Saccharomyces cerevisiae S288C: one gene and its partners. The protein of the gene in region 1 purifies or fractionates together with the protein of each later gene. This does not show direct contact. Each region holds a gene or a part of one and is shown on either strand. Other genes may lie near its edges. The genes, in order: PUF3, SGN1, QNS1 and PSP2.

The links.
Region 2: the proteins of PUF3 (region 1) and SGN1 purify together in Saccharomyces cerevisiae (affinity purification with mass spectrometry; 2 studies listed by BioGRID, with this or other methods). This does not show direct contact.
Region 3: the proteins of PUF3 (region 1) and QNS1 purify together in Saccharomyces cerevisiae (affinity purification with mass spectrometry; 2 studies listed by BioGRID, with this or other methods). This does not show direct contact.
Region 4: the proteins of PUF3 (region 1) and PSP2 purify together in Saccharomyces cerevisiae (affinity purification with mass spectrometry; 2 studies listed by BioGRID, with this or other methods). This does not show direct contact.

The regions. Positions count from the first base shown.
Region 1 is NC_001144.5:121,575-130,524, forward strand, and holds PUF3 (mRNA-binding protein PUF3), read right to left. Parts: upstream 3,141-8,950; coding exon 501-3,140; downstream 1-500. Other genes in the region: EMC6 (Emc6p), read left to right, coding at 1-74; YEH1 (sterol esterase), read left to right, coding at 3,960-5,681; rRNA-processing protein SOF1, read left to right, coding at 5,949-7,418; PSR1 (phosphatase), read right to left, coding at 7,756-8,950. UniProt on the Saccharomyces cerevisiae protein: RNA-binding protein involved in post-transcriptional regulation. Negatively regulates expression of COX17 by binding to the 3'-UTR of COX17 mRNA. Promotes decay of COX17 mRNA by enhancing its rate of deadenylation and subsequent turnover.
Region 2 is NC_001141.2:353,376-360,559, forward strand, and holds SGN1 (Sgn1p), read right to left. Parts: upstream 3,521-7,184; coding exon 2,768-3,520; downstream 1-2,767. Other genes in the region: phosphoinositide 5-phosphatase INP51, read right to left, coding at 1-56; YIL001W (uncharacterized protein), read left to right, coding at 565-2,106; MPH1 (3'-5' DNA helicase), read right to left, coding at 4,040-7,021.
Region 3 is NC_001140.6:242,537-250,806, reverse strand, and holds QNS1 (glutamine-dependent NAD(+) synthetase), read right to left. Parts: upstream 4,615-8,270; coding exon 2,470-4,614; downstream 1-2,469. Other genes in the region: PPE1 (phosphoprotein phosphatase methylesterase 1), read left to right, coding at 1,166-2,368; oxysterol-binding protein related protein OSH3, read right to left, coding at 5,235-8,225.
Region 4 is NC_001145.3:234,744-242,871, reverse strand, and holds PSP2 (Psp2p), read right to left. Parts: upstream 6,285-8,128; coding exon 6,281-6,284; intron 5,919-6,280; coding exon 4,141-5,918; downstream 1-4,140. Other genes in the region: TATA-binding protein-associated factor TAF11, read left to right, coding at 1-883; PPZ1 (salt homeostasis regulator), read left to right, coding at 1,336-3,414; YML018C (uncharacterized protein), read left to right, coding at 6,920-8,101. UniProt on the Saccharomyces cerevisiae protein: DNA polymerase alpha mutation suppressor. Suppressor of group II intron splicing defects of a mutation in MRS2. May play a role in mitochondrial mRNA splicing.

The DNA of each region.
Region 1 (8,950 bases):
TTTTCGAATCGTTTTTTAGAGAGATAACTGGTTTTGTCATGGCATGGACATTTGGATACGCCCTAATCGGATGAACATATAAGAACTACTTCTATAAACGGTTAGAAACAGGCTTGATTTATTATGTACAGTAAATATAATGTTATTTGTGTTTTTTTTTTTTAAATTTTTTTAGTTCCTTCTATGTAAAAAGACATGACAACAGTATTCTCAGTCAAATGATTTCAAATACACAATGTTAAATTCTCTATCTGTTGCAGAAATAAGAAGAGCGTAAGAGCGCAAAGATTTTTGCAGAAAAATAGAGATGAGGTACAAAAAGTAGGTAATGGAAAAAAGCAAATAATGAATATAGGGGAACATAAATGTTATGGACAAGAGTAGATATCAAAATAAAACAAAATAAAATAGAGTAAGTGAAAGACAAATGGAGGAAAAAAAAAAAAAAAAAAAAAAAAAAAAAATAGTAAAAAGTGAAAGGAGAACGATGATAACACTAATCACACCTCCGCATTTTCAACCAATGCTGCAAGTTTCTCAACACTGGCTAAATGTCTATTTCCTAGGGAGTTAGATTTGTTTAGTTTATCCAAATATGCTCTAATGGCAATGACGATCAATTTCTTACCCTCACCCTCAGAGACATTAACTAATTTTTGAATCACATAGTTGGCAAATTGATCCTTGATCATTAAAATCATTGGAGAATCGTCTTCCAGATTCAAAGCATGATTTTTGTCTCTTGGTAAAATCTTAGAAATTATTAAATCCTTCTGATTTTTAGAGCCATAAAGAATAGATTTTTCGACCACGTTGGAGGCAAATTTATGTTTAGAGTATTCGACAACATTATTGGCCACAGTTTCTATGATTTCCTGTTTGATATCGACCATTTCCTTATTGGTGAACTGATCTTGTTGCAAAACATATTGAATGACATAGTTACCATATTGGTCTTGAATTAGATATGGTATGAAATCTTTCAATTCGTTTAAAATGCTTTCCTGATCTTCGCTCGAACCAAATTCTAACAATCTTTGAATGACCCTACAGCCGTAGGAGTGGGTAGATAGATGGTAAATGTGGCCAGTTAAAGAACTTAAGATAAAAGGTAATTTTTCGATAGGAATTGTTTCGATGGCCTTTTGAATTACGTGATTACCGTTCTGATCTTTGATCATTTGCAAAACGGAGTCAGATAATTCCAGGACTAACTCAATTCTTTGATTGGAATCAATATATTCTAACGCCTTTTGAATTACACGACATGCGTACATTTGTAGAGATAACTGTTTCATGTTACCTTTAAATTGATCAACCAAAGTATTTTTTTGAATTTTGCTACCAAATTCAAAAAACTTCTGAATGACGTAATTACCAAATACATCGTTCGAAAGCTCAATGGCGTCATCGCGAATTTCATTGAATATGACCTCCTTTTCTGAGGCTGGTGAGGTGGCCAACTCGCGCTGAATGAACCGTGAACCATGTTGATCTTTGCAAAACTCTAAGGAATGGCCAAAGATGTCTTTTAGTGACATGTTCGAGTTTGAATTTTTGTCAGAACTACTGTTTCTTAGTTGCTCTAACAACGGCGATCGATGATACGTTTGCTGCTGTTGCTGTAGACTTTGAGAATGAGGATGAGAATGAGAGTGAGATTTATGGTTGTTGGCCGTTGACTCATTAGATTTGGAAGAAGCATTCTTTTTAGAGGTATTCTTTGTGGGTATAGAATTTTCTAGATAAGGATTTGCCTGTTTGTTGGCGTTGTTGGAGTTATTTGCAGGATGATTCTTGTTATTTCTTTTCTTGAAGGTTTTTTCGTCCTTGGGCATTTTGACAGGTATAGGATTTGGAGTAGGGTAGTAAATATAAGGATTCTCCTGTTGCTGTTGCTGTTGTTGGTCTTCTTGTTGTTGTTGTTGTTGCTGTTGCTGTTGTTGCTGGGGAGCAGAGAGTGGTGGAGGTGGCATAAACATCATTGGGTTGGGGTAGGCAAACGGGAACGGAGAATTGTTTGGAGGGGACGAAGGTGAAGAAACAGAAGAAGGTCTGTTTGCCTTCTTCTTTTTCTTACCATTTGAGTCTTCGGTGTCTTCATTTGCTGGAATCTGTACTGAAATCATCTGGGAGATGAAATTTGAAGGAGATCCGATCAAGTAGTTGGGGAAGTTTTGGTAATGAGGGCCCTGATGAAACTGATTGGGTGGGAAGCCGTTCATGTAGGGGGGGAAATTGTTATTTGCAGGCCCATCTTGTTGGTTAGGAAGCGCGACATTTGTGGCCCCAACAGCGGCTGGATTGTTACTAGGTCTAAATACTGGTGTGTTGGCTACGTTCCAGATATTTCTCTTGGGGTAATGAGCATTTTCGGACTCTAAAGACGCAGATGAGCCTGAATTTGAACTGGAGTGGTAAAGCGAACCACTGTTAGTAGTGTTCCTATTCAATTTGTTGAAGTTTTTGTCAGACTCGACATTTTGCTCGAAAGTATTCTGTGTGTCTAAGCTGGCGTTAGAGACGCTTTTTGATATGAATTGGGACTGAGTATTGACAGCGTCGGGTCTATCTTGAGATTCCAGTTCCCTTGTACCGTCAATCAAAGATTTTCCGAACTTCTCAAAAAACCCTTCCCCACCAGAGTTGTTGTTGTCATTGCCATTGTAGTAAACGGGACCAGCAATGGAAGCTGAATACTGGCCCAGAAGATGGTTGACCTTGTTGTTTTTCCCGAGATTAGCCGCAGTATGATGAGTATGATAGTTATTGTACGATGCGGATGACAGGGAGGCAGTGTCGGTTGATCTGTACTGGTAATAATTGCCGCCGTTACCAAAAAACTTTTTCGAGTTCGTGGAGAATGGCGGAGCAGTACCAACTGATAGGGCGGTTTTCTTGAAGATCGGTGAAGATTCACTGGAACCGTGAAGCAGCAAGATCTCTGAATCTACTTCATTTGCCGTGGTGAAACTCGACCTTCTGAAGCCGCCAATTTGCTGTGATCCAGCAGCACCGCCGTTCACAATGCCGGCCGCGGCGGCCTGACCGCCGTTGTTGTTACTATGGGACAGGGCGCTTAAAGAAGAAACTATGGATGCGAGTTCCATATCCATATCCATATCCATGTTCATTTCCATTTATACCCGCAATATTGCGTTATTCAGAAGAAATTTAAATGCGTAGTTCTTGTTTGTTTTCTTGTTTGCTTGCGTACTTCTATGCTTATAGATATATCAGTAGCAAGGAAGTTTCCTTTTCACCGCCTTTCAATGTTCCTATCTTTTTCTTATGTTTCTCTTTAGAGACCAGATGACCAGAAAAAAATTAGCTAAGCAGTGTTATACTATTTACAGTAGATATTCAAATATGTGCAGGCACCACTTATTTTTCTTTTTCCTTCTTTTCTTTGTTTTTTTTTTTCTCCTATTCATCAAGCTTCATACATCCAATATACATTCTCAAGTGTGCTAATGGTACATTTGGGAAATTATCTTCCTCTCTCCACAATTTTTAGAAGGAAAAAAGAAATGCAGTTCAGGGTAACAGAGTGCGCAATTACCGTAGATAGCGATCGGATGTTTATCTTTAGCCCTCTTTTTCTAGCTCAAACCCCGGCACGAATTTTTTAGGTCTTGCTGCTCTGCCCTCGGGCACTTTTCTTCGAGAAGTTCTGGGGCGGTCTGATCGGGAAAAAACGTTCCCTTTTCGGACGTATCGCAGGCAATGTGCAAAAGCTTATTATATACGAGAAAAGAAACGCGAAGGAACGAAAGAAGATGAAAAAAATGCAGCGATAAAATGATATTGTGGTTAATCTAAATTTATATATATATATATATATACATATATATATAGAAATCTATTGTTATACACAAAAATACTTATTTTTTAATATAGATGGCTGCAGATAAAGTAATAGTTTTATATATAGGTATATTTACTGCACAATTCACACGATGGGTGTTTCTGCGGTGTTGAAAAGAGCTAGGAATTTACTAGCAACGTTCATAGTCTGCTGTTTTATGGCAGTAGTGCTTGTTCTGGCGCTGGCACACCATTTTATAAATGAGCACAGAGACACTAGGAGTTCATCGACCCAAATCGAAGTTGATGACGAAAGTAAAAGAAACGTACACCATGACCATGTTCTCACTAGAACCAATGCATACGCGACGCCATACCTCGATCTGGAACATGACAAGAAAAACGGTATCGTCTACGATCATACAAGAACGGTTGTCCGTAAAAAGAACCACGAAGTGGGGTCCTCGTCACTGCATAAAAACCTTTTTCACAAATTTTTGACAAAGCTTATTTTTAGGTTTATCGAGAAGGAAAAAGTTACCGAAGGCGTAACGCAAGGAAAGTTCAATAATAGTAGCAATGAAATTGCCAATCATGAACCGGTTTTTGAAAAAATTCCTGTACAGTGCGACAATCCATTACAGAATCTAATCTTATCGGAAGACTTGACATTAGTTGCGGATCTTAATTATTATTTTAACCAGTACAATATTCAAATAGAGGAATTTAGATTGGAGACCGAAGATGGGTTTGTTATAGATTTGTGGCACTTGATACCAAAATATAGAACGACAGATTCTGACAAGAAGAAGAGGCCACCCATTTTGATGCTACATGGCCTTTTGCAAAGCAGTGGTTCGTTCGCATCCAATGGTAGAAAATCTCTGGCATATTTTCTGTATCAATCCGGTTACGACATATGGTTAGGGAATAACAGATGCGGGTTTAGGCCGGAATGGAACGAAGCGAAAGTACCGACACTAGCTTCCAGGTGGGACTGGGACCTTCGCGAGATGGTTAAGTACGATCTGACCCTTTTGATTGATACCGTGTTAGCTAAGACGCAGTTTGAAAAGCTTACTTTGATCTCGCATTCTCAGGGCACTACACAGGGGTTTATGGGCTTGGTCAACGAAGATAAGTTTTTCCCTCCCGGTTCGGGATCTAAAGAATCTTTTTTCACTTCTAAGATCGCAAACTATATTGCCTTGGCCCCCGCAGTGTATCCTGGTCCCTTACTTAACGAGAAATTGTTTGTTAAGCTTATGACAAAGGAAATCGAAAATCCCTGGTTCTTTGGTGAAACGAGCTTTTTTGAGATAATGATGATTGTAAGAAACTTGTGCGTTGGTGAGAGCTTGTTCTCCTTTGTTTGTTACACCATCTTCAATTACCTGTTTGATTGGAACGATACCCTTTGGGATACCGCATTAAGAGATCGCCATTTCCTGTTTTCGCCAGTCCATGTTTCAGTGAAGTTGATGCAATGGTGGCTGTCACCCGACCCCAACAAGGTAAGTTTTAAATTTGGTTCCCATAAGATGTTCCCCGACAATGTTAAGTGGTTTTCAGACGCATCAAAGGCCCCAAATATCTACTTGTTTGTTCCAAAGCAAGATAGATTGGTGGACGGAGAAAGACTAATCAATCATTTCGTCAATGTGGAGTCGAATGTCAACTACAAGATCTGGTACATTGATGAGTATGCCCATATTGATGTCCTATGGGCACATGATGTCATAGAGAGAATTGGTAAACCAATTTTACAGAATTTGAACAACTATTACTCCAAGAAGCCATCCAGCGCCTTTGAAAGTGATTGTTCGGACACAGAGGTGGAAACGGAGCTGGAAATGGTTGCTGAGAAGGCTTGAAGAGGAAGCATGATATATAGGTTAATATAAATTATACTTGGGAATACATAGATAGAGGGCTAGTAAATTTTTAGTTTTTAATTGTTCTTTTTTTTTGAAGTATTGTGTCACAAATTGTCGGGAGTTGGGACATCACCGTGCATAACGATACATTTTTTTGAAAAATTTGATATTGAAAAAAAATCGATGAGTTTGAATTACATTACAGTTGTATAAAGCAACCGCATTTCATTAACGTAGTTTGACTCGCGAAGATAAGGCGTTAAAATGAAGATTAAGACCATTAAAAGAAGTGCTGATGACTATGTCCCTGTTAAAAGTACGCAGGAATCTCAAATGCCCAGGAATTTGAACCCTGAATTGCATCCTTTTGAAAGGGCACGTGAATATACTAAAGCTTTGAATGCCACCAAATTGGAAAGAATGTTTGCTAAACCCTTTGTGGGTCAGTTAGGATACGGTCATAGAGATGGTGTTTATGCTATTGCCAAAAATTATGGTAGTCTGAATAAATTGGCTACTGGTTCTGCAGATGGTGTGATTAAATACTGGAACATGTCTACTAGAGAAGAATTTGTTTCCTTTAAGGCGCATTATGGACTCGTTACTGGTCTTTGTGTGACACAGCCTCGTTTTCATGACAAGAAGCCAGATTTGAAGAGCCAAAATTTTATGTTATCTTGCAGTGATGACAAAACTGTCAAGCTATGGTCAATAAATGTTGATGATTACTCCAATAAAAACTCCAGTGATAACGACTCCGTTACTAACGAGGAAGGTTTGATTCGTACTTTTGACGGTGAATCTGCATTTCAAGGTATCGATTCGCACAGAGAAAACTCCACGTTTGCCACAGGTGGGGCCAAGATCCATCTTTGGGACGTTAACAGATTGAAGCCAGTTTCCGATCTATCATGGGGAGCAGACAACATTACTAGTTTAAAATTCAATCAAAATGAAACAGATATCTTGGCCAGTACTGGTAGTGATAATTCTATTGTTCTTTACGACTTGAGAACCAACTCCCCCACACAAAAGATTGTTCAAACAATGAGGACGAATGCTATTTGCTGGAATCCAATGGAGGCCTTCAACTTTGTAACTGCCAATGAAGATCATAACGCCTACTATTATGATATGAGGAATTTATCACGTTCATTGAATGTATTCAAAGATCACGTCAGCGCAGTAATGGATGTTGACTTTTCTCCTACGGGGGATGAGATTGTTACTGGTTCGTACGATAAGAGTATCAGAATATATAAGACGAATCACGGACATTCGAGAGAAATTTATCATACGAAGAGAATGCAGCATGTTTTCCAGGTTAAATATTCCATGGATTCTAAATATATTATCAGTGGATCTGATGATGGGAATGTTAGGCTATGGAGAAGTAAAGCTTGGGAGAGGTCTAATGTCAAAACTACTCGTGAAAAGAATAAATTAGAATATGACGAAAAATTAAAAGAAAGATTTAGACATATGCCGGAGATCAAAAGAATCAGTAGACATAGACACGTGCCACAAGTCATCAAAAAGGCTCAGGAAATTAAGAACATTGAGTTGAGTTCTATTAAGAGAAGAGAAGCTAATGAAAGGCGTACTAGAAAGGATATGCCATACATTTCCGAAAGGAAGAAACAAATCGTTGGTACCGTGCACAAATATGAAGATTCAGGAAGAGATAGGAAAAGAAGAAAGGAAGATGACAAACGTGATACTCAAGAAAAGTAGTTATTCTGTTTTATGTTGTCTGTATATACACATATGTACAATATTTGCATTTTTTTAATTTTTAATTCACATGTATTTGATAAATGTTCACGCCAGTCCCGTTAAATTAAAATTACCATTTTATTAGATTATGAATTTATATATGAATACATTGTGTCGTAATGGTAGAAGAAGTTGAAAAAAAAAATGTCAAGGGACAGCATGGGTACAGTGTGTTGAGCCAAAAAAAAAAAGAAAAAAAAAGAAAAAACTTTTTGTTCTCTGGTTCTTTTCTTCATCTTCTTCATCTTCATTCTTTGGTAGCGGGGGCCACAAGAAATTCGGGCGAAAGTGCTCATTATATTGTTACATCCAAAATTTTGCCCACATCCAGTGAGGTTTTCACAGAAAGGTCTTCTAAAAGAGGAATAATATCTAATAATTCGTTATCATGAGTATCTGAGAACCAGGACGAAATCGGTATTGCATGTTGGGGATGAAAAATATAAGATGCCGGAGAGTTATCGAGAATGATGATATCTGATAACGGCCTTCCAATCTGGGATAAGTTTTTTATATAGTTTCCTTCATAGTTATAGCAAGCCTCTCTGAATAATCTGTGATGAATGACTTTATCTGTGTCTAATATATCAAGCAAAGGATCACCGTATCGAGAGACACTAGCCGTGAAGACTACAACCTCGAATAATTTTCCGACTCTTTCCAAAAATTCTTCCACACCAGGTCTTTTAATGACATAGACATTGTGTACTTGGTCATCTATTTCCACAGACAAAACAAAATCCGCAGATCGTAAGTATTTGAAAGAAGAGTGTACCAAGGTTTCATCCAGGTCCAGTATTAGGCATTTCTTGCCCTTTGTACTTTCATCTTGTGGGGGGAGCAGAGTGTTGTAACCTGGTGCATGATACTGGCCCTGCTGCAAAAGCGTTAGATCAATATATTCTTCATCTTCATCGTCTTCGTCGTCGGCATCGTTGGAAGTTTCACTGGCTTGAGAGCTGCTACTTACCCTACTCAAATTCATATCTTGGATAAGATGGTCAGACGATACTTGTACAGTAGGCCCTCGCTGCTGCGACTGCGACTGCGACTGTGACTGTGACTGTGACTGGGGTTGTGGTTGTGGTTGTGACTGTTGTTGTTGTTGCTGCTGTTGTTTTTTCTGCCTGGAAGTATCTTTCACAGCATCTCCTTTTTCCTGTACAATGCCACGACTGCGACGGTTATCTTCATCGTCGATCTCTTCATCTTCGTCAACCTCGTATTTTTCCTCGTAAAGATCATCTTTACTAATTCGCTTCTCTACTTTTGTCATATTATTAGTAGTAGTGGCGGTGACGGCTGCAGTCGGCGACGATGGCTTCTTTTTTTCATTATCGTTCGTGCTTATCCCAGATTTACCGGTGGATCGTTCAGTGGAACTGAAAGTAGCGGCTGAATTTGTCTTAGAAGGAGGAGAGTTTGTCTGATGTACGCCACGGGTTCGGCTTTTCGTGTTGGAATGTTTAACGCTTCTGTTTTTATTGAGA
Region 2 (7,184 bases), on another chromosome or scaffold:
TAGTTGTTGGAAGATATTACAATCGACCGTGATCTTCTACCGATGAAGAGTCTCATTGTAGTGAAATGTGCTTCGAATTCATACGATTAACACAACTTTATCAATATTTGCTGACTTAATCCTAGAATGAAATAGAAAGGCTATTTGATTTGTGTAGATATTTGTTCCAACTTTCCGGTTTACAAATGTTTAACAAAGGGATTCGTTTAGCAATTAGGCAATGCTAAACAAGAAGGAAAACAGGAAACCCTGAAGGAGATAAAACGACGTCAAGAATAGAAGATAAAAAAAAAGGGACATTAACAGGTTATATTGAAACTCAATTCCTGCCTAACCTTCTAAATTGAGAATTTAGAAACGGTATCGCTTATTCTGAATTCCTAAAACACCCATCCCTTTTAAGTAAAATAATAATACGTGGACTACGTAGATGTGGACACTCAATTTACTTACTATTCTCTATGGTCATATTGACAATAAACAAAAATACAAGAAAAAAAAAACTACAGGAAAGATTTGTCATAAATTGTACACTACCACTTGAAAACGACCTTTGGCATATTTATGGCAGATAAATTAATGGACAAAAATTTTGAAGAACTGTGCTATTCATGCCGCACTGGTGATATGGACAATGTTGATAGATTGATTTCCACGGGAGTAAATGTGAATAGTGTTGACAAGTTTGACAATTCGCCACTTTTTCTGGCTAGCCTTTGCGGGCATGAAGCAGTCGTGAAACTTCTTCTACAGAGAGGAGCCGTCTGTGATAGAGACAGATATGAAGGAGCTCGATGTATTTATGGAGCATTGACCGATACTATCAGAGATACCCTTTTAAGTTATGATATATCCAAGGCTGTAGATGTCAAGCAACCCTTTGCTACTCATATCTCATCGATGTATAATGACGAAGGCTTCCTTAAAAGAGATATCACATTCAGAGTTTCGAATGGAAAACTGTTCACAGCGCATAAGTTCTTATTATGTGCAAGGAGCGAAATTCTAGCAGAAAAAATGGTGAATGAGTGGGCAAAGCATGAAATTGTTTCTCTTGAAGTGCGCCCAGATATATTTGACATATTTTTGAAATTTCTTTACTTAATTCCGATCCTGCACCAAATTGAACCGGGACAATATGAAGAACTTATAGAGCTATCTAGTAAATTTGATATTGAGTTATTGCCCGAATTTTTAGACAAAGCAAGGCATACCGCCGATCCTACGGAAAAGTCGAGGTTAATGTCAGATTACCAATATAAGTTTACCGAGGTTGCAAGAAGTCAACTTTTAATATTTGTGAACAATTGTATCTTTAGATCTACTGTTGATCTTGCTAATAGTGAACGACGAGTTTTTTCCTTGATGAACTGTCCAGCTTATCCGGATGTTCAACTTATGGTAAAAAACCGAAATGGAGCCATTCGAATATACCCTTGTCACCTGGCTGTTTTGAGCCGCGCAGAATATTTCAAGGTGATGTTCACAAACAACTTCAAGGAGAAAGTTACATATATCAAAGCCAAGCACGTTACAGGAAAGTATAATAGTATCATTCCACAGCTGACATTACCCAATTGTGAGTTTGAGGTTGCCGAAATTATTCTCCGCTACTTATATGCAGATAATACAGACATTCCTTGGATGTATGCCGTCGATGTTTTGTTACTTGCCGATATACTTTTAGAAGACCGCTTAAAAACTATCGCTTCTACAATTATAACACAATCAAAAGAGTTTATTCAGCAATACAATGTTTTTGACGTACTCTATTTATCATGGGAAATAGGAGTGGAACGCTTAGAACAATTTGCAGCTAAATTTATAGCTATACATTTGCAAGAGTTATATAAAGATCCAGAGATTAAAAGGGCAATTATGTTGAGTTCACAACGAATTTCTCTCCGCCAGGAAACTGATACTATTGAACTAGTGGATGACATTAGGTACTATTTGCTCCGAAAATATTCTTTTGAACCGGATGATGTGGAGCTGTTCGAAAACCAAGACGATTTAGAATACCTAAAACAAGTAGGGTATTTGGAGTACAGAAAAGATATGGGTATGTTAGATAATATCCTAGCTGATCTGGAACTTGATGTATAATTCCGCATTCAATAACCTTATGTATTTTTACGCGTCACTGCGAACGGATGAATATTGCCAATGACTGCTGCGCACTCTTAAAAAATATAATGACAATTATAATAAGAAGTATGATACTTTTTCTGTAAAAAATATATATACATATGATTCACGTGAAAATTTTTATATTTTTAATTAAATTTTTATAATATTATAAATTATTATAATATTGATATTTAAAATTAAAAACAAATTATTAATGGTTTTGTTTTCCGAAATGTTTTTTATAATTATTACTTCAGAATAGTTATTTTCACGAATACGAGATACAGGGTAATGAAAACAGGTGTTATCCAAAAAAAAAAATTGATATATTTTAGATACTTTACATACAGAGGCAAGCTTCAGCTGTAGCCAGGTACATAATATTCCCTATAAAGTGATCAATATTTTTTAACGAAAAATTAAAAAAAAAAATCCTTGAATAAAGGAATGAAAATATTGTAACAAGCGATGACATTTCTTTTTTTGATTGTAGTTGTGGCATTTTATATTTGCTTTTGCATTTACCCTATTCTTGAAGGTTTGGATAGACAAGCGAGATAACACCAGTTGTCCTTCAACTTATTCAAAGCAGCAGCTCACTTAATTATTATTAAGTATACACATGAAAGCCTTGTGTTTATTTCGAATCTTTTTCTTGGGTAGAACTTTTAACGTTGTCAGACGGCATGACAACAGGTTTTTGGGAAGTAGATCTAATATTTTTTGTAGAGTCTTTGGCACTGTTGAAGTGTTTTTTTTGGAAGGTTCTATTCTTGTTATTGTAAGGACTCCTATAATAATTGTTCTTATTATATCCGAAATTTTGATTTGGAGACTGATTTGGAGGGTACGGTGGGTAATAAGGGAAGGTATCGGGATTGGGGTAGGCCATTAAGGGATAATTCCATTGCCATTGTTGGAAATACTGGTTTTGCGAGTTGTAATGCCTATTAAATCCTGGAATGTTAGTTCTTTTTCTGGAGACAGCAATTTTTTTGCCTTTAAGTTCTCCTCCATTTAATTGCAGGGCTTTTTCTCTGTATGCCGGACTTTCAAATTCAATATAGCCGTAGCCTTTTGGTGTTCCCGTATTCCTATCATAAAGAAGTGTTATTCTTTTTATCTGGCCACAGTCTTTGAAATGATCTTCTATTTGCTCTGGGGTGACATCCGGAGTGATGTTACCGACAAAGATAGAACGCGAGTCAGCTTCAAGTTGATGAGCGTGTTTTTCCTCCTTGCTTAGCTTTTGCGACACCTGTGGAGTGCCCTCGATAGATAGTTTACCCACAAGTTCATCCAGCTCGAGCTCTTGCTTGTCGTTCTTTTTATTGTTCGAAATTTCAGTCTTTAAGGTTGCCTTAGCATCCACTTTCTCTTCCTGGGACATAACAGCAATTGCAAATGATGACACTATGTGACAGCAGATATATGTTTATGTTAATAGGCCTGGTTGGAGAGCGAAAGTTGAGATTACTTACTTAATCAAAATTAAATTTGAAATTTGCTGCATTTTAAGGTTACTTTTCGGAGTGTAGGAAATTGTTGCGGTTTTTTTTCACCTAACGAATGATTGATAATCTTTTTCATATCCTCCAAGAAACAAGCTGTTTATTATGGTGATTGCCACAAATTGAAGCGCTATGCTTAGTGCTTCATGACAGAAAGGTTTTGCATTGGTAGGCGTGGAAGATTACAGATTGTACTCGTCGTTGGCTCAATTTTTATATTTTGTTGCTTCAAAAACAGTGCCGTATCCTTAATGAATGAAAAATTCTAAAGAAAATAAGTTGATACTAAAAATATAATGTCCTTGAAGTATTTATGCGATATATAGAAAAATCTATAAATACTTAAATATTACAGCAGCGTTATTTTTGTATAGACGCCGACGTATAAGAGTCTCCTATCAAAAATCAGAATCTGAGCCCAGTATGTCATCTAATTCTGCGTTCGATAAGGTAAAAGATTGGGATGAATCATGGTTGACACTGTTGTTATCGACTTGACTTTTATCGTTAACTTTTACAAATTTTTTTTCGTCTCGTAACATGCCTCTCGCCAAACATTTAGTATAGTTCATATCAATTGTCCTCTTCTTATTATCATTACTCTCGTCGTTAAATAACGTAATGATTTTTGAAACTTTGTGACAATGCGGAACTTTTACCCCTTTGGTGTATTGTACAAAATTGGGCTCCACATCGAAGGAAACACCTTCTGGGATATAGCGGTTTCTGAAAAAATTCCAATCGTCCAAACTCAATACCATGTTATTCTTGTCAACAGTACAGCTCTTTTCTTTTTCAAGGTTGTGTTGATTTCCTCGGATGTCTTTCACATTTTTCTCGATTTTAGTTGGAAGACCACAATCATTCACAAATAAAGCCATATTAGGGCGTTCAAAATTATGAAGTGGCTTGAGTGTGGTAAGACTTTCGCCAGTGCGAATAATGGCAGTTTCCAAATCTTTTTGGCATCCATTCTGCCCTTCCGCAATGAAAACATTATTATCATCACTGACTTCTTCATCTTCAGTTTCTAATGAGGAGGAAGCTTCCTCGGTTGAATCATTCTCCAGATTATCCAAAGCTTTAAAAATCTTCCGCTTCTTACTTGGGTTTTCATTACTCGTTACTAGTTGTTTCCCGCCACTTTCATTCACCAAGAACTTATTAATTAAAGTGCTTGCACTAACAATACTGGTCTCAACATTATCAGGCATAAAGAACTTCTTCGGTTTTTTATTTTCCTGAACTCTCTTCTTCTTTGTTATGGCTTTTTTTGGCTTCACCTTTTTGCCCATCATACACTGAGTCGCATAACGAATAACTTCGTCAACATCTTCCATTTCATTAATTATTTCGTTTTCATCATTAATCGTGATCAATGTCTCGTGACATTCCGGAATAATGTCTTCAGGGATTATCCGATCTGATTTTTTATAGTCAATGCATTGCTTGGATATAAGCGCTTGCAGGGTTGAATAGTCTTCCATAGCACGCTCGAATTTGTATGATTCATTACTGCTAAACAGTAGTACTATCTTACCATCTCGTTTTCTGCCTGTTCTACCCATACGCTGAATATTTTTGATTGGACTACTTGTAGTATCATAACAGATTATTAAATCAACTTCTCCGATATCCAAACCTTCTTCTCCAATTGATGTACAAACGAGAACATTATATTCACCCTTTTTGAAATTATGGATAACCTCTTTTTGCATTTTTTGGTTCATTCCGCTAATCTGAGCCTCTTCAGAGCTCCCCGTTCGTCTGGCACTTCTTTCAAGTTTATCATTCGCCGCTCTCTTAGTTCGTTCAGCTTCCAAAAATTTCTCTTGCTCTTGCCTATGCAATCTCTCTACCTTCTTCCTTCCCTTTGGCGCATGTTTTCTTGTGTATTTGACCTCATCAAAACCTTCTTTTGCACGAGCTTGTCCAATAAAAATATGAGGCCTGATTTGATCGTCAGCTACCGAGTCTATGAACTTCACAATTTCAAGTGCGCTTTCTCTTAATTCTGTAAAAATAATAACCCTCGAGTCGGAACCCCTTTTCTGAAAAAAGTCCATTAGTTCATCTCTAACACATTGTAACTTCCCATGACCGACAAACTTTGGATCACTTAAATAATTTTCGCATTGATTTTTGATGTTTTTCAAAATCGGATGGTAATAAAACTCAGCTGCAATTTTATTAGTAGATTTTTTAAGATTATATTTCGTAGTGAATTCTGTACATTTATTCTGGAAGTAATTGAAAAATGTCCTTATTCCATAAATTTTTAATCTCTTTAGCATTTGACCCACATTGTTCAATAACTGTAAAATAAAGAAGTTCCTCCACTTAATTCCTTCAGGTATAGTAGGGTTAGCAATAATTTTTTGGCTTTGTTGCATGGCTTTGAAGGCGTTTATTTGTGAAGGGTCACATTCCTCATATATACCGAGTTCAATTGCCTGTTGAAGCACTGGTTTGACGGCCATACCTAATTGTTCGATTATGTCTTCAATTTCCAACAAAAGGGGCACTTCAATTTTTTCCTTTTTTCTTTTCTTCATATATTTCACGATATCCATGCTTTCTTCAGTCCTAATTTCAATCTTGGAAATATCTAAGTTATTAACCACTTCTTGGACACCTTCCAGGTCAGAGGCTGGTGTAGCGGTCAATGCTAATAATCTGTATGATGAATTGAACCTATCTATGAATTTTACCACATTTGTATACGCAGAGGAGCCAGTAGCTCTGTGAGCTTCATCGATGACAAGACATACAATATCCTTAGGATCCAATACACCCCTCTTCAAGTCATTCTCCACTACTTGCGGTGTGGCAAAGAAAACTCTCTTATTGGCCCAAATTTCTTCTCTATTTTTCCTGCTTTTATCGAGTAATATAGCAGTTTGATCCGAAGGTATTCCTGTTATACCTAAGCATGCCTTAATTTGCTGGGCTACCAAAGGTCTTGTTGGAGCAGTAAAGATTATTTTGGCTTTTTTGGTCCAACGAAAATAATTTAACATTACTGTACTGGCAATGAACGTTTTACCCATACCCGTTGGGATGGCGCATAACGTATTTTGAAACAGTGATTTGTGAACAATTGTATACTGATAATCCCTTACCTCGTAATTTGTAGGGTACACGTAGAACGACAAAGCATCGTAATCAAGCTCATGATGAGTGGGTCCAAAACTGACATCTCTTTGAATTTCTTCGTACACAGTTTTCTGCCCAGGTAAAACGTTATCATGAAGGTCTTTTTGAACTGGTACAGCACGTCTCGTTATAGTTTCCTTCACAGATTTATTGATAGCCTTTTCATACAGTTTATCCAGCTCGTCATCTTCGAAATCACTAAAGTAATCATCTGCACTAGCCATCAGAGAGAAAAAAGGACACTAAAATAAAACAGAACCGGAATGTGTTGAATAAAACTGAAGTGAGCTACTATATCTTGAATCACAATATCTTAGCTCCGTGATAGAGCATAGGGCACCTCTATTGATCTCTTCGTGATGCCCGGTTATATACACACGTAACCCC
Region 3 (8,270 bases), on another chromosome or scaffold:
ATTGTGATATAGGCAACTTTGGATAGAGGAAACAATGAGCCGTAAGAGTGCTAGTTACTGTTTTCGCACCGCCGCAATCGTATAGGTGCGTTAATGGCAGTTTAAAAGCTAATACTGCTTACATGAATGTCAACGGCGCCAGCATGGTCAAATAACCGGCAATATGTCCTGCTTCAAAGTTAAATAGTTTGAAGTATTTAGTGCAAAAGTGCCATCTTCTTTCTGGGGAAAGTTTTAAAGATAACATCGTTATTGGTGTAATTTTGAACAACTGCATGATCATGAGTTTACTTGAGAAAGATGGCTTTATTTACTGAAAATCTGCTACTGAATAGAAAGCGCTCTTAAAATCAAAAGGAGAAGAGAACCAAGAAAAAAATTACGCAGATTGTGCCAATTCCAAGATGAGCTGATGCACGATATTTGCAGAAATTTATAAAATGGAAAGATCTGCAAAATATCACGAAGACATCAAAAAATACGATCTTTACACCCAAGGTATTACAGTCTTTGGGTAATGAAATTATCAGATTTGATGGAGGGCTTTTGTGATAATCCTTCTAATTCATAACAAGAACTTTATACGGTACACATGTGGAGAAACAATTTCCTTACTTAGATTTCTTAAAATGAAAGATTTAAAACACATAGAGGAAGCTCAATGGCCGACGCCAACTCAGGATGACAACGGTTTGTTTGTGAATTTGGATGTTTCAAACTCGGATCAAAAAATTCACAACATAATTGAACGGTTGGTCAGGAGAACGAAGAAGTTTTTACAAAGGCTCAAGTATAAGGAATGTCCTGCGCAACGTAATATATACCAGAAGGTCAATCCCAGCCTTGACGTAGTAATATGCCCTTAAACCTCCAGAAAATTCCCCCAATATAAAGTATTGCCGGGAAACAGCATATATACTTACAACAAATAGAATCGTTGGCACCGACATTGAAGTGGACTATGTTCCCCTATGAATTGTTCATAGTAATATTGTAGAAGACCCTATTGTTCTTGTAATTCGGGTAATATATTTGAAATTGTACAATATGCCTATTTAGGGATATCATTAACTGACTGCAGCGGTAATGATCAACTAATGCTCAACAAAGAGTCAAAAATACGGCAACAAACTGGTAGTAACGGTAGGACATTTTCAAATTTTCAATGTCTGACGATTTGAGAAGAAAAATTGCTTTATCCCAGTTTGAGAGAGCCAAGAATGTTCTAGATGCGACATTCCAAGAAGCATACGAGGATGATGAAAACGATGGTGATGCATTAGGTTCCCTGCCATCATTTAATGGACAATCAAATAGGAACAGAAAATATACGGGCAAAACCGGTAGTACTACTGATAGAATTTCAAGTAAGGAAAAGAGTAGTTTACCCACTTGGAGTGATTTTTTTGATAATAAGGAGTTGGTAAGTCTTCCTGATAGAGATCTGGACGTAAATACATACTATACATTACCTACTTCATTGTTATCAAATACCACTTCAATTCCCATCTTTATTTTCCACCATGGGGCGGGCTCCTCAGGTTTATCATTTGCAAACTTGGCCAAGGAATTAAATACTAAACTAGAAGGAAGATGCGGATGCTTTGCATTTGATGCTAGGGGGCATGCAGAAACAAAGTTTAAGAAGGCTGATGCGCCTATATGCTTTGACAGGGACTCTTTTATCAAAGATTTTGTAAGCCTGCTAAATTATTGGTTTAAGTCTAAAATAAGCCAAGAGCCACTTCAGAAGGTATCTGTTATACTAATTGGTCATTCCCTTGGTGGAAGTATATGTACTTTTGCGTACCCTAAATTATCAACAGAACTACAAAAGAAAATTCTTGGTATTACTATGTTAGATATTGTAGAAGAGGCTGCCATTATGGCCTTAAATAAAGTTGAACATTTTTTGCAGAATACACCCAATGTATTTGAATCAATTAATGACGCTGTCGATTGGCACGTTCAACACGCGTTATCGAGATTGAGGTCAAGCGCCGAAATTGCTATACCAGCTTTATTTGCTCCGCTCAAGTCAGGGAAAGTTGTCAGGATAACAAACCTTAAGACCTTTAGCCCTTTCTGGGACACATGGTTTACCGATCTGTCGCACTCCTTTGTTGGCTTACCTGTTAGTAAATTATTAATATTGGCGGGAAACGAAAATCTCGATAAAGAATTAATTGTGGGGCAAATGCAAGGTAAATATCAGTTGGTAGTTTTCCAAGATTCCGGGCATTTCATTCAAGAAGATTCGCCTATAAAAACAGCAATCACTTTAATTGATTTCTGGAAGCGGAACGATTCTAGGAATGTAGTAATCAAGACTAATTGGGGTCAACACAAAACCGTGCAAAATACATAAGGGTTAAATATCACTTTTATATCTTTATTTATGATAGAATAAATAACAGAATATATGAACTCGTGGAAAAGTCTTATTTTGCTGTGAGCACTTCTTCTGTGCTAATCAATAGACATAATGTCAAGCGTTGAGCCTTTATGTGCTTCACACTGCTCGACAACTTCATCAATTTTTCTTGAAGCCCATGGAAATCTTGGGTTGATTAAGAAAGGACGTAAGTCAAATCTGTTGTCTTCTGGTGAATACTGTTCAGCATGATAACTAGGAGTTAAAACAGTTTGCTTGTGTCTGTTGATGGCATAGAAGAAGAAAAATCTTTTCACCTTTTCAGATATTTGACGAGGTGTTAACTTTGGGGACCATTGATGAAGAAGTTTTAAGAACATAGAATAAGGACCACATTTTTCAACCTTTCTTAGGTAACCAAACACGCCCAATTCTTCATACGTCATCCCCATATCTATCTCATCCGATTGAACGTAATCTTTAGTCATAGGTTCTAATTCTGCAGTTGGTGTAGCGTTTAAAAAGTCATTCAAGATTGGCATGTTATATTGTTTTGATGCGTAGGCAATGAATCTTTTCAAGTCAGTTTTTGAAATACCCCCAATAGGGTTGATATCTGCGGAGGAGCAGTCATATTTTGTTAGATACCCACGTAAGCACTCATCAACATTTGCGCTACCAAGTACTAACAATCCACCCGAGTTTGGGATACCACGAACCCACGGCAACAGTTGCGCAAAAAGATAAGAAAGAACCATTCTTAGACGCGCCTGGATGTTTTGTAAAGCCAAGTTCTCGATTTGAGATCCCCCAAATATTTTGTATATTGGTTTTTTGCCAGTGGCTACTTCGAATAAGGACACCACACTGGATACCAATGAGTCCATCTTTAAATCCACGTGGTAAGATCCAATTGCATTGGAAAGGTCCTTTGCTCTGTTTCTTGTCTCCTTGGATGAATTTTCCGTACCCATGAAACAGGAGTGAAATATTTTTGAGGCTAGATCCTGTGGACTGTCTGGAATCCAATCATCGCCGCTACGTGTTATCTTACGAACGTCTTTGATAACTTGCTCATTTCCATTTTGAGCAGCGTCGGTCACTAAACGGCACATAGAGTGGACAATCATTGCAGTTGCACAAGAGTCAATGCCCCCAGATAAGGGAAGGAAAAACCCTGTTCCGTTACAACGTCTTAAATAATCCCACATCCAGCAAGCAGGTCCCAGTGCAATTTCTTCCTCAGGAGAGTGATAGAAAGGCTCGCGGACTTTTGTTGGACACACTGTAGGATCAAATCTGGAGGTCATTAAAGCCAATTCTACAGGAATATCAATACGCTTGAACTTTATTTCTGCCAAGGAGGCTTGTAGGCCACGAGACATGACAGCTGCACGATAACTCCTCACCTCTTCTAGGTCCACAGTAGCAGTAACTACTTCCACATCATCTAGCGAAAATTGTGAACCTTGGGCTACAATTGTACCATTGATGGCAATTAGTGCACAGCCATCATAATATAATCTGTCACCATCACAACCTCTTTGATTTGCATACAAGTAAACACCACCACAACGTTTAGTGGCATTTAAAATTAGGTCTAACCTTTTATTTAACTTACGCAGTTCATGATGAGAACCAGATGAGTTTGTCATGATTTCCACACCATCTAAAGACATGGCGATGTGGGGGGATTGAGGTGTAAACAATTCTTCACAAGTTTCTGTACCAATGCATGTATCCAATGAATTTATCACAGCGTCCCCAAATGGCACAAGTCTCTGGCCGGTAACTTTCTGAATCTCAGGTGGAAGGATAAAGTCCTCCACCACGCCAGGTTTCATCCAAGGTGTGAAAAATCTCATTTCCCTATAGTTACCATCATTAGCTAACCAAATCTTAGGTCTTATGAACAATATCTCACCATCCAAGGATAACAAACGACAATTATAACGAACATTCTTGTGTAGAACGGGCATACCAATGTCAAGTATTAATCCATGGGTTTCTTTATTCTTAATGATTTGAGCATACATTTCCCATGAATGAAGGCAAACGTCATTTTCTAAAAAATGATCTAAACATCCGTAGCCAGTTATTTCCAGTTCTGGGCCGACACGTAACCTGGCACCCCTCTCTTTGGCAATCTTAATGGACTGTAGGATACGGTCTCTATTACCTTCAAAATCTAGGGCCCATTGATTCAAGTTGCATGTAGCTAAAGTGATAAGATGTGACATTACTGGCAGGGAGTCAAAAAAAGAATGCCAGGGTATTTGGGGGTATTTTTACAAGCAATATCAATTGATGATGTGAGCATATAGTCTATTTTGAGGTAACCAGTTGATAATCTTATATTTCCCTTCCATATTCCTCTTTATCTTTTTCGACGAAACTATTGGGGCCTCTTGATATGACTTAGCAGGACATATAAAGGATAAGATGTTCCAAGCTATGTTATCTTTGACAAGTTTTGATAGCAATAGACTTTCAATTCCAAATTTAGGCACCTTTTGTAAGATCCTGTGTTCGTAAACTTTTCTTCAAAAAACATGGATCTAACTGACTGAAAGAGTTCATTATCTTTCAATTATGTGATGAAATTCTATTGTTTTTTTCAAGTTTTGCAACTAATCATAAAATAGAATGTTTTTACAGTCAAGCAAACAAAAATAGTGTAGAACTGTTAATATAAAATTAGTGTGAAAGATTGATCAAGAATTTATAAAGTCCTTCATGTTGTATATAGTATACTATACATGAACGCATATACAAGTAATTTGTGTGGATGATCATTAAAGATGGAAAATAAATAGAGTACAAAGGGGGGAAAAAAGTTCACTTGATGTCATCAAGGCATTCACCAGAGTTGAGAAATATCAGACCAATCATGCTTCTTTCTTCTTTCCCAATAACTCTTCGGTCCAGTTATGTATTTCCATTCATTCTTAGATACTTTTTCGAAATATTTAGGCTCCACATCTTGCCCTTTATTACGTCTTTCACGTTGAAGTTGTTCCAATTTCAGCTTCCACTCTTCCGCCTTATCAACATTTCCCTCCTCGTAAGCTCTAATATCTGGTCTTAATCTTGAGTCCGTAGGTGGTAAATTGCCCTTTTCAATTTCAGTTATCTCATTCAAATTTGCGGTGAATTTAGTAAAGCCATATTTCTTCTTCGGATTGCTAACTAAATCACCTACTTCCCATATAGTTTCATGTGTAGTTTCATTAGCTAAACTCTGTGTCCATTTACCAGCTAGAGTTTCCTTCTTGCGATTGCTCGAAGGTGGTGGGATTATCGAAACCTTAAATCCTTCAGATCTTCCACTAAACATACCTGCCTTATCGAACAGGATGTGTGATTTGTCTCCCTTCGAAGAATGTACTTCGAATTCGTTGACAGGCTCCATATATCTCTCACCCGCTATCAAATTTTTTAAAATAGTTGTTGGTTGCGTCCATTCAAATAGTTCTCCAGTTGTCTTAAACTTCAATCTCAGTATACCTTCGTTATTCAATTCAATAGACTTACCCCAAAACTTTTGCGATGGCGTTACAGTGTAACTACACTCCCAGTCGAGATGCTCTGCAAAGAAGGCAAATACTGGAGGACGATGTGAGACCTTTTCCGATATAAGCCTAAACCCCATATCTTCTCGTATAAGTTCAAATGTTTCAGCCAGTAAAGGATTAAAAGGCTTTCTTAGCGTTCTTGTTTTATCCCTATATATGGAAAGAAAGGAAATAGCAAATGCAGAAACAAAGGTTATAGGATCAGGACGTTGGGTAGCCTTCGTTAAAAGTGGAGCATACTCAAATGTTTCTGATATCAACTGCAAAATAGAAATAGGCTCATTTGAGGTTACTGGCATGGCAATAGAGCTCAGATCTTTGCCTACATTCTTTCTCAAAAAAGATAATAGGCTTGGCGGAGAAGCTGCAGCTTCAGGTATGTCATTACGGCGTGTAACACTCTTTGGATAGGAAAGAGCAAACAAATCCTTACTTGTAAATGTTTCTGTTGAGGATTGGGCGCTTTTGGTTTTTTGATGATGAGGGTGGCCACGGCGACGATTTTTGTGACGATTTTTGAGGTGTTTACGGCTATGATTTTCATCGTTAGTTGTATAGCTCTCCACACTTGATGAAGCTATCTGTTCGGATCCCGACAATTGGACCTCTTTTGTGAACTCATTTTGGTCACTTTTACCAAGAAGGGGAGTTTCCTCGACTATATTATTAATATCATCTTCTGTGTCAGGTAATATAATGACTCCCCGACTGATTTCCTCTTCTGCATCAAAAAATTCATCATTCTCGCTAAGATATGAAGTTAAAGAAACTCTCGTGTCTTTTGCTTTCTTGCACAGGATCTGGTGGTCCTTGAATAAAACCTCTCCCTGTGTAACGAACCGGCTAACAAATACTTCAAGATCTGCCAATTGGTTATATAAAGCATGCTCAATATATGTTTTGTTGGAAGGAACCTCTTCAGAGGCTAAAGAATCAGATGACGTCATACCAGAAGAAGAATGATTGAATGAAGACACTCTATTATTGGTAAAGACGGAAGATGACGAATGTGTTCCATTTAGCCCCTCCGATCTTTGATGTAAAGTAGTTGGTTTATAAGATAACGAGTCTTTTTTACACTGCTCCAGTCGTTGTTGAATCAAACGTAGATTCATGGAGAAAGTAGCGTAAGATTCGCTGGGCAATGGGACATATATGTCATCCATGTCTTTCTGAGTATGCTGTCTATGTGATAGTGCACTTTTGGTCGTAGCCGTGGGCGTGAGGTGGTCGTGGTCTTGAGGTGAGCTTTTATTAATTACTTCCTTGTCATCGTCAAGAATGTCGGGATTTTCTTCCAAAGTGGACGTGTCCTTATCTTCGAACTGATCGTCAAAACAAGTTTGTAACGCATCGACCCACGACTGCCAATTTTCCTTAGTTGTAGCCTTCAAGACCCAAACTTCCATACCAGAATCAATTATGATTATTTTGTCCTTCTTATTGGCACTAACAGATGACAAGCTTATGACAATTTCACCCCTACAAGTTTGATTATGGTCGTTTAAATAGTACGATAGGGTTCCATATCGAAAGTCCAAGGTGAAAAACCTTTTCTTAAAACCTTGTAGTCTCTTTCTCCTTTTTTTCAGCAGGTAGCCTTGCAAGTAACGACCTTGTCCTACTCTAAATAACATATCCTGTTGAGTAGATGTTCTGCTTAAAGCTGTAGGCCTTGCGGGAGGGGTGGATCTTGTGCTTATCATCGATTGATTATCGCCGTTTATCACACTTGCGTTAAAAAGAATTTTCTTTTTTGCATTCTTGGAAGACGAGTTGTCCAGTATAAATGCATAATAGTAGTCTGTATCTTTCACTTCAAGATCACCTTGGACCATAGTGTTACCGGAAACGTTGCCGACCCTCTTGACCAAAGTGAATCCTGACGCAGAGAGTTTTTCACGTAGGGGTATTTCCTGGGATTGCTGCTGTATGCCGCTAATGGACAGTGAAGAATATGATCTCTCTTTCCTCTTATTATCCGATCCATTGCTCGAACTATGAGAGTGCTGTGAGGAACGCCTGTGATGCTCCTCAATATTACTCGAACTTCCCTTATGTAATAGAGATTTCGTAGTATAGTCTAGCAATGTTTTAGTGTCAGGTGCAATGTGAACTGCGGAAGCATGGTCATCTACACTGGATTTCAACTTTTTGTATATGCCGACTTCAATAGATTTCTTCAATGGCTTGATCTGATAATTGATTACATCGCCACGGCCACATTTTACCCAACGAACAACAAATGATCGATTTTGTATATCAATTGTTTCCATAATTCGATTCGCAGGCTGCTATTCAAGCTCGTTTTACTACTCTCC
Region 4 (8,128 bases), on another chromosome or scaffold:
TGGTACATCAATCAACAACCAATTAAATAAATATCCAAAATACAAATACCAGAAAACCAGGATAAATCAGCAAGACCCGGACTCTATCAACAAAGTCCCAGAAAACCTGATCTTTCCACAAGACATTTTACAACAGCAAACACAAAATAGCAATTACGAAGACACCAATACCAACGAAGATGAAAATGAAAAACTTGCGCAGGACGAACAATTCAAGCTCTTGGTAACCAACTTGGATAAAGATCAAACTAATCGGTTTGAAGTTTTCCATAGAACATCCCTAAACAAAACCCAGGTCAAAAAACTGGCTAGCACAGTAGCTAATCAAACTATAAGTGAAAATATTCGTGTTTTTCTGCAAGCGGTGGGAAAAATATACGCTGGTGAGATAATCGAATTGGCCATGATTGTGAAGAATAAGTGGTTGACAAGTCAAATGTGCATAGAGTTTGATAAGAGGACCAAAATAGGCTATAAATTGAAAAAATATCTAAAAAAATTGACTTTCTCCATCATAGAAAACCAGCAATACAAGCAAGATTATCAATCCGATAGCGTTCCCGAAGACGAACCTGATTTCTACTTCGACGATGAAGAAGTAGACAAGCGCGAAACTACGCTGGGCAACTCGTTGCTACAGTCCAAATCCTTACAGCAATCAGACCATAATTCACAGGACTTGAAGCTACAACTCATCGAGCAGTACAATAAGCTCGTCCTCCAATTCAACAAACTAGATGTAAGCATCGAGAAATATAACAACAGTCCCTTATTGCCCGAACACATCCGTGAGGCGTGGAGACTCTACCGTCTGCAGTCGGACACTTTGCCTAACGCTTACTGGAGAACTCAAGGAGAAGGGCAGGGATCCATGTTCAGATAGCTGCCCATAATTGTCCAACGGCTCCAACATATATCAATCTATATATAAACATATATATAATTTTTAACATGTCGTTTGAAATGACATGTCTATTTTTAAAAGGATAGCATATAAATTAATGAAAAAAAAAAAAAGAAAACGATTACTGCAGATCTTCTAATTCTGTTAATCAGCTTTCTCTTGTGAACCATTGGCAGGTGGGTAACATAAAAGCACAATACAATAGCTTCCATTATTAGTTTTGTTTGTTTTGGCAATACATGTTAAATCTTTTTCTTTCAAGTTAAATATAAAGATTATATATAAAAGTACTTCTTTGGAATACATTTGATTATACTTTTCTTTATCGTTTTATTTTTATTTCATCGTTATAGTCGCTTCTTTTCCCCTAGAGGCTTTGTCATAAAACAACAAATCAACCACTCTCTGCTTATCTTTCCTTCCTTTTCAAAATGGGTAATTCAAGTTCAAAATCTTCGAAAAAGGATTCACATTCGAATTCCTCCTCGAGAAATCCTCGTCCTCAAGTGTCGAGAACCGAGACTTCCCATTCTGTGAAGTCTGCAAAATCAAATAAATCTTCAAGATCAAGGCGATCTCTTCCTTCTTCGTCCACTACGAATACTAATTCAAACGTCCCTGATCCCTCCACTCCATCAAAGCCCAATCTTGAGGTTAATCACCAACGACATAGCTCTCACACGAATCGTTACCATTTCCCATCTAGCTCACACTCGCATTCAAATTCTCAAAACGAATTGTTAACTACTCCTTCATCATCCTCTACTAAGAGGCCTTCTACTTCTAGAAGATCAAGTTATAATACTAAGGCTGCTGCTGATTTACCACCTTCAATGATCCAAATGGAACCCAAGTCACCCATTTTAAAAACAAACAATAGTAGCACACACGTATCCAAGCATAAATCTTCATACTCATCTACCTATTATGAGAACGCCTTAACCGATGATGACAATGATGATAAAGACAACGACATCTCGCACACTAAAAGGTTTTCTAGATCTTCGAATTCTCGTCCGTCCAGTATAAGAAGCGGATCAGTGTCAAGAAGGAAATCAGATGTGACCCATGAAGAGCCTAACAATGGATCATACTCCTCTAACAATCAGGAGAATTATCTCGTTCAGGCATTAACCCGGTCAAATTCTCATGCATCTTCGCTACACAGTAGGAAATCTTCGTTTGGATCAGATGGTAATACCGCATACAGCACCCCATTAAACTCTCCAGGCTTGTCCAAGCTAACAGATCACTCTGGTGAATACTTTACCTCTAATTCAACCTCCTCATTGAATCACCATTCAAGTCGCGATATTTACCCGAGCAAACACATCAGCAATGATGATGACATTGAAAATTCATCTCAATTGAGTAATATCCATGCATCAATGGAAAATGTTAATGATAAAAATAATAATATAACAGATAGCAAAAAAGATCCGAATGAGGAATTTAATGATATAATGCAATCTTCCGGAAACAAAAACGCTCCAAAAAAATTCAAAAAGCCTATCGATATTGATGAAACTATCCAAAAATTACTGGATGCGGGCTACGCTGCTAAGAGAACAAAAAATGTTTGTTTGAAGAACAATGAAATTTTACAGATTTGCATCAAGGCTCGTGAAATCTTTCTTTCTCAACCTTCCTTATTAGAATTATCACCTCCTGTAAAAATTGTAGGCGACGTTCATGGCCAATATGGGGATCTCTTAAGGCTTTTTACCAAATGTGGGTTCCCACCATCCTCGAACTATTTATTCCTAGGTGATTATGTGGACCGTGGTAAACAGTCACTGGAGACTATTTTACTATTGTTTTGTTACAAAATAAAATACCCTGAAAATTTCTTTTTATTGAGAGGCAACCATGAATGTGCTAACGTCACAAGGGTTTATGGATTTTATGATGAATGTAAACGTCGTTGTAACATCAAGATCTGGAAGACATTCATCGATACTTTTAATACATTACCATTAGCTGCTATCGTAGCCGGAAAGATTTTTTGTGTTCATGGTGGATTGTCGCCAGTTTTAAATTCTATGGATGAAATCAGACATGTAGTTAGGCCTACTGATGTACCAGATTTTGGCTTAATTAATGATCTTTTGTGGTCCGATCCCACAGATTCACCCAACGAATGGGAGGATAACGAACGTGGTGTAAGTTACTGTTATAATAAGGTGGCAATTAACAAATTCTTGAACAAGTTTGGGTTTGATTTGGTTTGTAGAGCTCACATGGTTGTGGAAGACGGTTATGAATTTTTCAATGATAGAAGTCTCGTTACGGTGTTTTCCGCGCCAAATTATTGTGGTGAATTTGATAATTGGGGGGCTGTAATGAGCGTCAGCGAAGGTTTATTGTGCTCTTTTGAATTGTTAGATCCACTAGATAGTGCAGCTTTGAAGCAAGTTATGAAGAAAGGTAGACAGGAAAGAAAACTGGCTAATCAACAACAGCAAATGATGGAAACAAGCATCACAAATGATAACGAATCTCAACAGTAAATTTACTGACTAAAAAATCCAGAAGTATTATATTCATTATTTCATGAACAACTCAACGATGTACATATGCACATATATATATATATATATATATATATATATATGAAAGACAGGAAATAGAAGTTCCCTATCTTTTTCTTAATGACATTAAAAAACTTCCTTTCATCGCCTACTGCCTTCGCGTGTGTATTGAATGCTCATTCGCTCTATACAATCTAGAACTCTCCGAAATTTCGTTCTACTTTGCTTTCGCTATATTAAGCTGTTTATATAAATTACGTAATGGTATATAGTCATATAGCTAAATTCAATGGTTCGTTTCTATAGATTGGTTCTCCTTAATTTTAATTTTTTATTGCGTATAACGTGAGAGATTATTTTCAACCCCCCCAATACTTACGAAACTTCATAAAACTTCTTTAAGAAATAAGGGCCTATAAAAATTGTGAACTAATCAAGAGAAAATATATAATCAAAATTGATTAATCAGAAAGACGAATTTTTTTTAAAAAAAAAATTCAAAACAACTGAAGGGGAAATGGACAAAAAGCAGCATAAGTAGTAAAAAGTGGAAACAAAATAAGGTCAAAAAAATCTGAGAGGAAAAGGAACGCTATATTACATTACTCAGAACTGCGTAACCGACTAGAACAAAAAAAGGAAATAGAGGAAAAAAAAAAAAAAAAAAAAAAAAGAGAAAAGAAAATTAATGGGTCAGTACATGACTCATAAAGGCATGTCTGTTGTTCTGTTATTGTAGTTGGAGTAGTTACCGCTGCTTCCACGTCCACCACGACTACCTCGATTGTTATATGCGCCTCTGCCAAATCCCCTTCCTCTGCCAAATCCTCTTCCTCTCGAACCTCCATTCATACCGCTGCTGTTATAGTTACCGCGTCCATTGTTCCTTATAGAATCATTATTACCTTGGCCAAGGAACCCACTTGCTGGTTTGAAAATGGAATATTGTTGTGTATTGGATGTTGAGTTCGTGAAATCATTCTTTTTATTTCCTGAGGCATCTAAAGATGAATCCGAGGTTAACCCTTCTTCATTGTTTTGTCGATCATGATATCTTGAACCGTTATTATTATTACTACTACTATTATTATTATTATTATTATTATCATTAGTGTTGTTGTTGTTGTTGTTGTATGAGCTGCCACCACGATATCCGCCGCGATTACCACGATTGTTATGCCCACCTTTATAACTGCTGCCATTGGGGCCTCCACGATATCTATTACTCCCTCTAAAATTGCCATTATTGTTATTATGGTTTCCGTTATATTTGGTTCTGCTCATACTATGTTCCCTTTCCACATTCTTGAAAGTGAACTGTTTATCAACATCGGTTTCTGAACCTTTATCTTTATCATTTGAGACATCTAATTGAGCTTTATCGTCGCCACCTTTCTCAAAGCCTTGTTCATCGCCACCTTTGAACTCGTCCGATTTATCGGGCTTAGATTGTAGTTCAAGAGCTGGTGAGTCAAGCTTGCTTAATGGAGTTCCTTTCTTGGAAGTTTCATTGACCACAGATCTCTCAACTACTTCAGAGTAACTTAAAGGTTTGGGAGTTGGGGTTGCAGAATGTGATTCCTCCTCTGTAGGTGTCTGCTTTTTCAAGATTGTGATCTTGCTGCCTGTTGCAGTGGTTGCCATAGAATCACTACTAGGGATTAATGATGCCCTCAGGGTTGTTGTATCTTCCACGTGTAAATTTTCCATTTTTTCTTCAATGTCCAAAATCTTCGATTGCGTATCAACCGGTTTAGCACTTCCAAAAGGATTGGATTTTGACCGCTGAGTCTTAGTAATGAATGGTTTGCCAGCATCGTCTTTAGGGTCTGTTAATAATTTCACCTTCGTGCTGTAATCCTTAAAATCTTCGAATTCTGCGGGCGCTGTTGTAATGTGGTAAATTTCCTTCAAAGGAGTGGTCCAATAGTTCAAAATTTTGTCCATATCACGGGATGTATATAACTCGACAAATGCTACCTTCGAGTCACGTTTGAAATTTTGATCAAAGATTGACCCCGATTTCAAAGTAGAAATACTTGGATTTTTATTTATCTCCCAAAACAGTTTGAACTTAATAAACTTGGTAAACTTTGCTTGAAAAAGATCTTCAATGTCAAAGTTGGAAAATCTCGGTGGTAAATCAGAAAACTTCACAATATAAGGAGGACCTTGCTGATGCTGCAGCGGGTGGTGATGATTTGCAAAGTCCCCCATGCTACCACCACCAAAAGGCCCTGCATTAGAAAAACGTGATCTGTTCATGGGTCCATGACCACCGTGTGGGTGCTGTTGGTGACCATCACGTTGATGTTCGCCTGCCTTGGTTTGTTTCAAGATGTCAATATTCGTAGTATTGCTTATAGCATCCAAATTAATATCTTCCTCATCCCATACTGACTCGCCTAAAGTGTCGTTCCCTAGAAATTCTTCTAGGGACATTTTCTTCGTAGTGCCATTATTATTAGATGTATTATTTGTTCCTGAATAGAAACATATGTAGACAATTCCGTGACTTTCTCTTCTTTGCGGAAAACCAAGCTGATTAGAGAAAGCAAAAACATTGCAAGACCATGTCTAATCAGCTTGATTTTTAGAGAAACGATAAAAAAGAAGAAAAGAGGCCAAGAGAGAGCATTGTTCAATTGTTAGTGGCTATTTAAACTTGATCTATTTTCTTAAAAATCCACATGAATATTATATCCTCTTTCATGCAATAATTCCTACGTATGACTGAAACAGAAGAAAATAGTAAACATAAAATACTAAAACAAAAAAAAAAAAGGAAACAAAAGAGGACCGTTATGGATCAAAAGGGGTTAATGAGAAAAACCGAGGCACATACCCATTTCTTCCCGTTCCAGCACTCTATGTGATTAAGATCGAGTGAGCAAACGTGTTTTTCTAGGATGATTTCTTGACCAATTCTTTGTGGAGATAAGCTTTAAAGTCTGAAGAACGTATCTCTGTAGTTCTTCTGTCTCATTTAAAATAACCCAAAATTTCCGAAATTTCAGTGCAGCTCAACCCTAAATTAGACCTAATTGAAATCAGTAGGGTTAGCTCGTATTTGAAATATTACAAAACAAGTCCTATAAAACTCTAATCTTAACCCTTATGTTAGATTTTCAGCACGTGATTTTGCATCTTTTTTAGTTTTGCTTAAAAAATTTTGACCTCTACCTTTTCTCTCTCTGTTTAATCAGGTAATAAAAAGTTCAGCCAAAAAGTGTGGTTGTGAAATTTTATTCTGGCGATGCGCAATCGGAGTCTTTTCTATTTCTTGCAACTCGCAGAAGAAAAGGTATTTTACTACATAAATTGTATATATTCCTTCTCAGGATCAGCAACATAAGATATTGGCTTTGATATTATATTGCATCTTATTGCATTGTGTGTTGTGGTTAAGACAAATAAATAAAGGAAGTTTCTTCTTTTTTTTCCTTCCTTTTTTTCCTCTCTCAGATAAAAGTTCAACAGAGCCATGGTGTCGAAGGATCAAACGTCCTTTAATAAGAGGTGGACCTTGGGTCTTCTGATGTTGGGTCTAGTCATTATTTTGTGGGTTTTATCGTCCTTCCTGATAAATTTGATCTTCGAGGATGACTCGTATAGAAAACCATTCTTTATCACGTACACCAATACTGCCGCCTTTATCTTTTATCTTTTTCCAACTGCAAAGGCCGTTGTGGTGAATTACAAGGACACAGGCCGTGCAAACGTTCACCGCGAACTAATTATGGAGGAAGAAGGTACTGGTAGTGATAGCAATCGCTCGGTTGATATGACTAGCCCACTGCTTACAAACCTTGAAGCAGGCACGCATGCCAACCAAAAGAAGAGGCTAACGTTATATGAAACAATCAAGTTAAGTGCTGAGTTCTGCATACTTTGGTTCACAGCTAACCTTGTGACCAATGCCTCGCTGGCATTCACATCGGTGGCATCGCAGACAATCCTCTCCACTACTTCTTCCTTTTTCACCTTGTTCATAGGTGCTATTTGTCATGTTGAATCGTTGAGCAAGTCCAAAGTACTCGGGTCGTTCATTTCCTTTGTAGGCATAATCATGGTCACCAAATCAGATTCTCATCAGCGCTACCAACGCCATATCGCGGACGTTAGTGGTGATGATAACGATGCCGTGCAAGTTCTGATAGGCAACTTGTTGGCACTTGCAGGTGCTGTACTTTACGGTGTCTACAGTACTTTATTGAAGAGAGAAGTCGGAGATGAGACTCGTGTTAACATGAAGATTTTTTTTGGCTTTGTTGGTCTCTTTAATTTACTTTTTCTATGGCCATCACTGATTGTATTGGACTTTTTTGGCTGGGAACCATTCTCTCTGCCCAAAGATCCTAAAGTTGTGGTAATAATCTTCGTCAATTGTCTCATCACATTTGTTAGCGACTTTTGTTGGGCAAAGGCTATGTTACTAACGAGTCCTTTAACCGTCACCGTAGGATTGAGCATAACGATACCCCTAGCAATGTTTGGTGATGTAATCTTTAAGCACAAAACCATGTCTGCGCTCTATTTATTTGGTGCTACCCTCATCTTAGGCTCATTTTTCATCATTAACAAAAGCTCTGAGGAGGAACATTTTGAGAACTCAATAACGGCTAGCAATTACGAATCAGTGGAGGTGCCAGCAGCAAACAACTGATCTTAAAAAAAAAAAAAATAGAAATAA